2 linked regions of the Xenopus tropicalis genome follow. The main gene of each other region encodes a partner of the protein of the gene in region 2 in a complex. Links are inferred from orthologs where the notes say so. Each region holds a gene or a part of one and is shown on either strand. Other genes may lie near its edges.

Region 1 (3,829 bases), on a different chromosome or scaffold from region 2:
CTTATAACTACGCCCATATCTGGGTGGAGCTTCAATATCTACATCTCGTTCCAGAAGTAATGTTTTAAATTGGCTATAGGAGGGCGATTCCAGCTTATTTTATAGGTAAATAAATGGTGACATATAGGTAAATATTTTTATATCATACACTGCTGAACTTTAAAATCCCACATTAATATTTAACACATTTCAGTTTTAGCCATGCATCTGCACATTGTGATCAAAATACCCAATTATTAGATTGTAACAGTGGCCTAAGCAGACAACTGGATTCTTTTTAGACCTACCCATTAGATATCTAACTGATCCCCAGGAAGATATTGGTCAGAAAAGCTATCTTGGCCAAGGCCAGTTAGCTGCCATCTTACCCTGGAGTCATCTGCTAAGGTCCTGGCTCAGATATACAACTTCGGAAGGAGAATTACATGCATGCGTGGCCTCTCTAATTAATCTTCCTTGGTGCTAGGAAGGAAAGATGGACAGCTACCCCACTAAACATGTAGATAACCCTTCCTACTGGATGTAAGCACCCACCCCTGAAATGTTGTGATTCTTTGGCTTGACACAAATAAACCCATCCTGCATCATAGCTGTGTGCTGGAGTGTTTAATGTACTGACCCAGGTATCTAGCTTGGAAGCTAGAAGAATATTGTGAGAGCAGCACCTCAACTAGAAAATAAAAATACTTTTATTACTTTCACAGGCACAGATCATGATATCTAGCCCATTGTTTGCTGAGGAACATACATTCTTGAGTGCAGTGCTAATGCAAGTGTGTGTTGACTATTCTATTTTTAGTAGACAAGAACAAACAGCTATCACCGCTGCTTTTACTCATCCTTGTCTTCATTTAAGAAATAAAACTTTTTCTTATGTTATATTTTCAAACTTATTTTTATTCTTATTGGCTGTGCACAGATGTGCAAACTTTAGTAAACCCCAAATTCATTACCATAAGCCCAATAGGTACTGGTGGTTGCTCATAGACTAACTGTAATGAGATAATGAAGTTAAAGTGGACCTGTCACCCAGACATAAAAAGCTGTATAATAAAAGTCCTTTTCAAATTAAACATAAAGCTCAAAATATTTTTTTTATTACCACATCCATACCCATTATAAAAGCATTTTAAAATCCCAGCTGTCAATCATATAATGCCTGCCCCGCCTCTATGCCTTAGGCATAGAGGTGGGGCAGACAGTTACTTTAATTTTCAATTCAGAACTTCTTAGATGTTGCTGCACCCCTCACATTCCCCCTCCCTCCTCACCATGTAACTGTGTAACCAGTGCATGGACATGGGCATCGGGTCCCCCCATACTGGCACAGAAACAAGATATTGGCAGGATGCAATGCCTGCTTTGATAACAGTGTCCACAAAATGGCCCCTGCCTGCTTGCTGCAATTGTGAATTCCATGGCTGAAGATAATAAGATTAAAATAATTTATACAGTGTAAGTAAAGTTTATTTTGCTTGCCAAACACAATAGAAAACAATTTAAAATTATTTCTTAAGGTGACAGGTCCGCTTTAAGGAAAATGAATGCACAGTTATGATATTTTGTATGCAATATATTGTGGAAATTTGTTGTGCTACACACTGTATGTATAATTCAACAAACTGGGGGAATTTGTTAGTGTTGCAGAGTCATTCAAGACCTTTTCCTCCAGAGGTTGCAAACCCATGAAGTGAAAATATTCAATTTACAGATTTTACTTTTAACAAATGCAGTGTAACAGTAACAGCTTCCTTTTATTTGATGAGAAAGGGTAAATGAAGCAGAAAGGAAAGAAAAGCACACAAATAGGGCAAGCACTTAGGAATCTAGCCAATATACACATAAATCAATAGCCTTCATGAATAAAGTTCTTGAAAATTCACATAGCCAGCTGTACAGTGTTACTGAGCAGTCTTTCCTAAGGTACGAATTAGATAAGTTTCTGTTTAGCCATTATTGATTCTTTTGCAGCTTTATATAGAACAAGACTTACTTTGGGCCTGTGAAAGACACTGGCTAAGGCTCTAGCAGACTCTATGGCTCCCACCTCCATGACTTGGATATGCTGTTTGGAAAAGTCTGCACTTTATTCCAACTTAATTAATAAGAAACCACTAGACTGATGTACAATACATGAAATGAGTATGCAAAGCAATCCTAAGCATGGGTTCCTAGCAAATCTTTAAATTAAATCTAGAGATAGAGATAGAGAATTTGACTGGGCCATGTCAGCCCATTCATGAGGTTTTAAAAGGGTTTCCCTAGGGTAGCAATGTAATACCTGAATTATAATATGGGGGCAATTTAATAACATTTGTATTTCTGTAATCTTTGTATTTTTTTTGTACAAGCCTCAAAAAAAGCCTTTATTCATTTAATAAATTCTTGATTTTTAGCTGAAAAAATACTAACATTGGTAAATAACCATCCTAAGACTTTACTGGATAAACAGCCAATAAAATGATGATGCCAGTTACCTGTGAAGTAATGGGTCATATACAACATCCACATTTCTTCCATTAAAGTTGTATAAATTGCCAAAGAGGGCACTTAGAAGCCTTACATCTCTTGCCGTGTTGCTATTACATACTGTATTAAATAATGACCTAGAAAAACAATATCTACCAATCATGCTGGGAAGAAACCAACTGGAACCATATCCTGCACCCCCCTTGTTCTCTTTCTGTGAGTTTGTGTTAGGATAGGGTATGCAGTACTGTACATTTGTAGCAAACAATGGTCATAAGTATTTGTTAAGCAGTCATTATTTACTGTTCTAGGGAGAAATCAAGTTGCTATTTAGAGGTCAAATTCTTTTTTGCTTTGTGGTGCTGAATTGCCAGCTGGGCTGCTGGGATCTTTGTCTTCCTTTGGTTAAATAAGTAGAATGTTTTGGAAAGGTTCAACTTGTTTTCTTTTCACCCTTACAATTTTATTATGCCTTTCCTCTGTTTAACTATATGGCTGCTTCTTAGTAGACCAAAAATTGAAAAGTATTGCACTGATAACCATTCAACTTCTTTTGCATATCACTTTTAAATACATATAATAAAGATGACAAATAGAATCACAAGTTATTTTTGTTACTTAAATACACAAAGTAGAATACTAACATAGTTGTTATTGGTTTATTTTAGGAGGGCCTTCCAAATGGCAATCATCAAACCACTGTGACTGCTGCTGTAAGAACCCCAAAGGGGACAAAGAAGGAGAAAGTGGAACATCGTGCAATGAACTCTCCACTTCAAGTTGCGATAGCCAATCGGAAGCCAGCTCCCCTCAAGAGACAGTCATCTGTGGGCCAGTAACTCGTCAGTCCAACATACAGACTCTGGATCGACCAGCCAAGAAAGGACCAGTGCAGATTCTCCAGCAGTCTGAAATTCGTCGGAAAAGTGACCTTTTGCGAACTCTGACAACGGGCTCCAGAGAGTCCAACACAAGCAAAAAAAAAGTAATGAAAGAAAAGCTTTCCATTGAGGAAGAGCTGGAAAAGTGTATTCAGGATTTCATGAAGATCAAAATCCCAGACAGATTCCCAGAGAGGAAATTTTCATGGCAACAAGATCTACTACGAAAATATCACCTATAGAAAGGGAGGGAAATTATTATTGAAACACAGTTCTATGATACATAAAGCCTATTGTTTATTTGGTAGATTACCATGCCCACTGAAAGTACTGCCTAACATACATATTGTATTCCATCCTAACCCCATTGCTGTTGGATAGGCCTTGAAAGGATTACAGGCAAGACCAGCACCAAAGGAGTTACCATAGTTACAGGGTATTACATTTATTCTCTTTGTGGAAGCACAATGTATTATGTT
Region 2 (4,516 bases):
TTTCTGACTTTAGTGAATCGGGCCCATTGTGTTTTATTGATTTGTATGTTAATGAGGGGATATTAGGCATATTATAATGATGGGTTAGGCTGGAAATTAATAATAGGAATAGCCTCAAGTTATCATATTAATGTTTTTTTGTTTTGTTTTGTTTTCTTAAACGCTCATTATCAGGAACAAAATGCCTAGAAACATCATTACATCAGTGTTGTGGCGCAGCATCAGTACAGCACTATATTCCTCATCCATTTGAAAGACCTTCTGGTAACCTATAACCCTCTATAGCAGGCCAGATAGTCTCCTCAGCACTAGGGATAATGTAGCCTTGTGGGGCAGAGCTGGCAGCGTTTCATATTGTTAAACAAATCCAACAAAAAAAATCCTTGTGTGTGTGTGTTTGTGAATACTTTATAGAAAAATTAAAACAGTGGGAAGACCAGTAAATTGACTCCAGTTAAAACCTGCATATTATTGGATAATGAATATGCTTGTTTCTTATTGGTTCAGGAATTTGTGTTGTTTCACAGAATGGATATTTTATCAGTTTTGTGGAACTGAGTATTCATTTTGTTAATAGAATGAATTCTGCGCTATAGAATCTTGCTTTCTGTCACACGCATCTATTCTGTCCTGAAAATCTAGCTGGAATATGCTATTTAGCTTTATATATTTTGTTGAAGTTTTGTTTTACATTATTCATTCTGTAAGTAACTTTACACATAACTGTTTTTTTATATGGATGTTATACATTTGTGAGACAGAATGCTTGTTAAAATTGATATTACAGTTTGTAATATAATAATATAAAAATTGATTTTGTTCTCATTCTTCACTAGAAATATATCTTTTGTATATTTTTTACCAATGTTTATATCCACACTTTAATTCTGTTTACTGGGGATTGCTTTTTGTATATAGAATGTATTTTTAAAGACAAAATGTACTTTGGACAAACGGCACCCCATAGAAAAATATCAATATTCAGGTGCAGGTGCATAAAATTGATTTAATTTTCACAAAATGTGCTCTATAGCCCTAGTTATTACAACACTGATAATCACATTTCAGTGTTGATATTTGTGGCCCAAAACACTTCTTGAAGATACTCAAATGTATCTAATAGCTACCATACACTCTTTGCTTTCATCAGTTTCATTTACAAATTTGTATTGTCAAAAGAAAACACTAAAATGCCTGAGGCTCACAATTATTTATTTGATTCAGATTGTATCACTATTGTAGAATGATAAATTGTTTTTTCTAGGAAGAATATATTTATTCTGCTATAGAATTGGTATTGCATAAAAAATACATTTATTATTATGTAGACAAACATTTTGCTTAGCCACTTTGGCTCAAATTCTCAAATTTCTTCCTTTTACTACCATTGCAAGTTGCTTGTGTTAAGGTACTATTTGTCTGAAAGCACAGATTTTTGCACTTTAGCGGGATCATTGCTCACTTTTGTCACAGTACTACATAGTTCTAGTATTTTGTGCTGAATACAATATAGTCATCATCCTAAAATGGTTGCTGTTGAAGCAGGCTTTCAAGAGGTCATACATAGGGTTTAAAAACTCTAAGATATAAATAAAGGAAGAAAAAGTTAAGTAAACCTATAGAAAGATCATTACGCTATCTCAATGGACTAAAATGCATGGGAAAAGAAGTTGTAGAGATTCTGTTGAAATCATTTGGGATTAAACAAAAAGCATTTGTTAAAATAATGTAATAGATTAATGTGTTTAGAGCAGTATTTGTACCATAGCTTTTAGCTACCAGCATAAAAAAACCTGACCTATAGGATCTGTAACTAAATTAAATTTCAAGAGTGAAAAAATCCATAGAAACATTCAAAAGAAAATTATTTTGAAAAATCTCCATAGACACTTGCTGTTTTAATAAAATTAATGTTTATTCTATTTTCTTCATAGTATACAGAGACGGCTCTCCTTACAACTACCCATCCTACATCATGCCTACTTGCCATCAATAGGTGGTGTTGATGCCAGCTGTGCTAGCCCATGTGTAAGTCCTAGTGCCAGTCCCCGACATAGACATGTGCAACCTTCTTTTCAAGTCATGGTCTCTGGCCTGTAGGAATAGGTAACACAGGCTTCTTGGACTGCTTCTGTAATCTCAAGAAGGTCTAGACTGCACAAACAAAAACTTTGCTATACATGAAACATTTGCTCTTAAAACAGAGGAGAATACAGTCTAGGGACATAATTCCAAGAGTCCAATATCAACCAGCGTGAGCGAGAGAAGTGAGAGATGCATAAAGACATACCTGGAGCCTTATCTGTGGAGTTTTTATTTCTTTACTCAGAGGACAATGATGAATTCTTCCCAAAACTCTGCGAGCATCAGATCAAGCGCAGAGAACCTATATTCTTGCACAAAAAGAAAAACAAATTACAGAAGATGAACTTTTTAACCCAAGTTACAATTCTAAATATATGGCTGCTATAAACAATGGTTAGTACACTTTATACACATGTAAAAATCTTTTAAAAAAATCATCAAAAAGGAAAATGGCACAGATAGAAATCATTTGCAGAAAATTGTACACGGGTTTGCACAGATATGATCAACGCATTCCATACAGATTTATCCTGCTAGTGTGTCACATCTAAGACTATACACAGTGGGGAAAACGCATCCTTATTAAAGATCCCTCAGGTGTCAGTGAGACATGCAGTATTACCAAGGTTTTGTGCCTGTAACTGAACTATACTGTTTTGACACTGTAGTTTCAGAAGCAGCATGGAGCTGTTAGGTAACCAAGGTTTTATTGTACTGAGCAAGAACAATTTGCAGCACAGCACTTCGCAGAATTTGGGAACAGCTCTGTTTCACTGCTCGCCATTTGGGACAATGTTTTACTCTCTGTAATTTTTTTTCTTTTTAAGAAATGCACAGACTTAATTGAAATGCAGGTTTGAGAACTAGTACATAGCTTAAATGTCACATGATGGATGATTTGTCACAGTTATTGTATTTAATTTGTTCTATACAGTGCCACACTTAAAAAAACTACAATAAAACCAATGTTATAACAGATTCCGGTTCTTTAGGCACATTAGGAGCTATAAAGCTTTGAGCCGGTAATGTGTTAAATTCTTTTTACTGTGCATTTAGCCAACCCCTGAGAATTTTGTATAATTTTCCAACAATTAAGTGGGTTTGAAAGTAAATTTTCTAAATTTGTGACATATGAAAGACAAGATGGAGATCTGAGGAGATTTGCTGAATGCAGGCAGACAGGATAATAGAAAAACGATACATAGCCAAGAAATAAATAATATGTTTTGGCATAATGTGAAAGTATATCTCAGGGGTAGATCATCTTCCATTCTGAAACCCTTTCACTTGTTAATTGTTTTAAGGAACCTGTTTAAAACAGTAACATTAAAAAAAAATCAACATACATATATCCAACAGGTGTTTGGGCTGATACAAGTATGTATAAGTACCTGTATGTAAGAAAACCATTTCCATCATGGTTTTCTGAGCAAACAGCCTGTCACAAAATTGCATGACTTTCCACTATCATTCTTTTAGAATGGGCAACAAAAATCACTATCATCTATAGGCAATGCTATTATTTTAATAATTAGCCAAAAGCCATTCAAATTAATTGATTGCAGTGTTCATTTACAATGCTTTATACTTCTTATTTGAACACAATTCCTAAATCTATGAAAGATAAAATGGGGGCTGCATTTTTTTATGTGTCACGGAAATTGCATTTTTGGAAAAGTTAAAATTAGTACCTGTAAAAATGGTAGTTTGTGAATAAACATTATAAAAAAAAAATGACAATTTTAAAATTTTGTTTACACTTCATTTGGATTATCCTTTACAAAAAAAAAAAATCTTATGAATGCACCCAATGCCATGGTTAAAATATATACAATCTACGTGTGATTTTGCTCCCAAAAATACAATGGACCAACTAGTTCTCAGGCACATGTATATGTACAATGTATAAACATAATTTACAGTGATCTAAATAAATGATTCTACCTTGGTATACAAGAAACAAAATGTATATCAGAAGCCAATAAGAATTCTGTTCCACTGACTTTGTTACAGCTGTTCTTTATTGTGGTTACAACTTGGTGAAATATATCTTTCCCTCAGCTATAAAAATAGTTTGACCTTTGCCTACTGTTACCTCCTGAATTCGCACAATTGTGAGAAAATATGGATCTGGGCACAAGAAATAATATGGATCTTAGTGGTATTATGACTGAATAACTAAAATACACTGTAATATTTTTACATAAAGCATTTAGTGGACCACATATATAGATGCCTCAAGGAAGGAAAAAAGGTACTGAAAAGTAAAGTAATATGTAAAGTGAGAACACTGTTCACACCTTATTGCTATGCACTAACGAGGAGTTCAAGCATTAAATAGACTTATTATATAAGTTTAGAGCATGTTCTTCACTAGCGACGAAATAAAAACGCCAGTAGCTTGGTACTGAACTATAGGCCAACCAAGAAA

The links.
Region 1: the proteins of gabbr2 (region 2) and kctd16 are in contact, whole or in part, in a crystal structure (PDB 6M8R), measured with the Homo sapiens proteins. The link is inferred for Xenopus tropicalis from reciprocal best matches to the Homo sapiens genes GABBR2 and KCTD16. Residues at the interface, in NP_005449.5 of Homo sapiens: Ile882, Asn883, Ile888, Gln889, Arg891, Leu892, Ser893, Leu894, Gln895, Leu896, Pro897, Ile898, Leu899; in NP_001357415.1 of Homo sapiens: Asn30, Gly32, Gly33, Gln34, Val35, Tyr36, Asp64, Leu65, Ala66, Lys67, Asp68, Ser69, Arg72, Phe74, Gly79, Phe80, Arg83.

What each region holds. Positions count from the first base shown.
Region 1 is NC_030679.2:39,047,149-39,050,977, forward strand, and holds part of kctd16 (BTB/POZ domain-containing protein KCTD16), read left to right. Parts: intron 1-3,137; coding exon 3,138-3,592; 3' UTR 3,593-3,829. UniProt on the Homo sapiens protein: Auxiliary subunit of GABA-B receptors that determine the pharmacology and kinetics of the receptor response. Increases agonist potency and markedly alter the G-protein signaling of the receptors by accelerating onset and promoting desensitization.
Region 2 is NC_030682.2:77,343,196-77,347,711, reverse strand, and holds the end of gabbr2 (gamma-aminobutyric acid type B receptor subunit 2), read left to right. Parts: intron 1-1,934; coding exon 1,935-2,100; 3' UTR 2,101-3,819; downstream 3,820-4,516. UniProt on the Homo sapiens protein: Component of a heterodimeric G-protein coupled receptor for GABA, formed by GABBR1 and GABBR2. Within the heterodimeric GABA receptor, only GABBR1 seems to bind agonists, while GABBR2 mediates coupling to G proteins.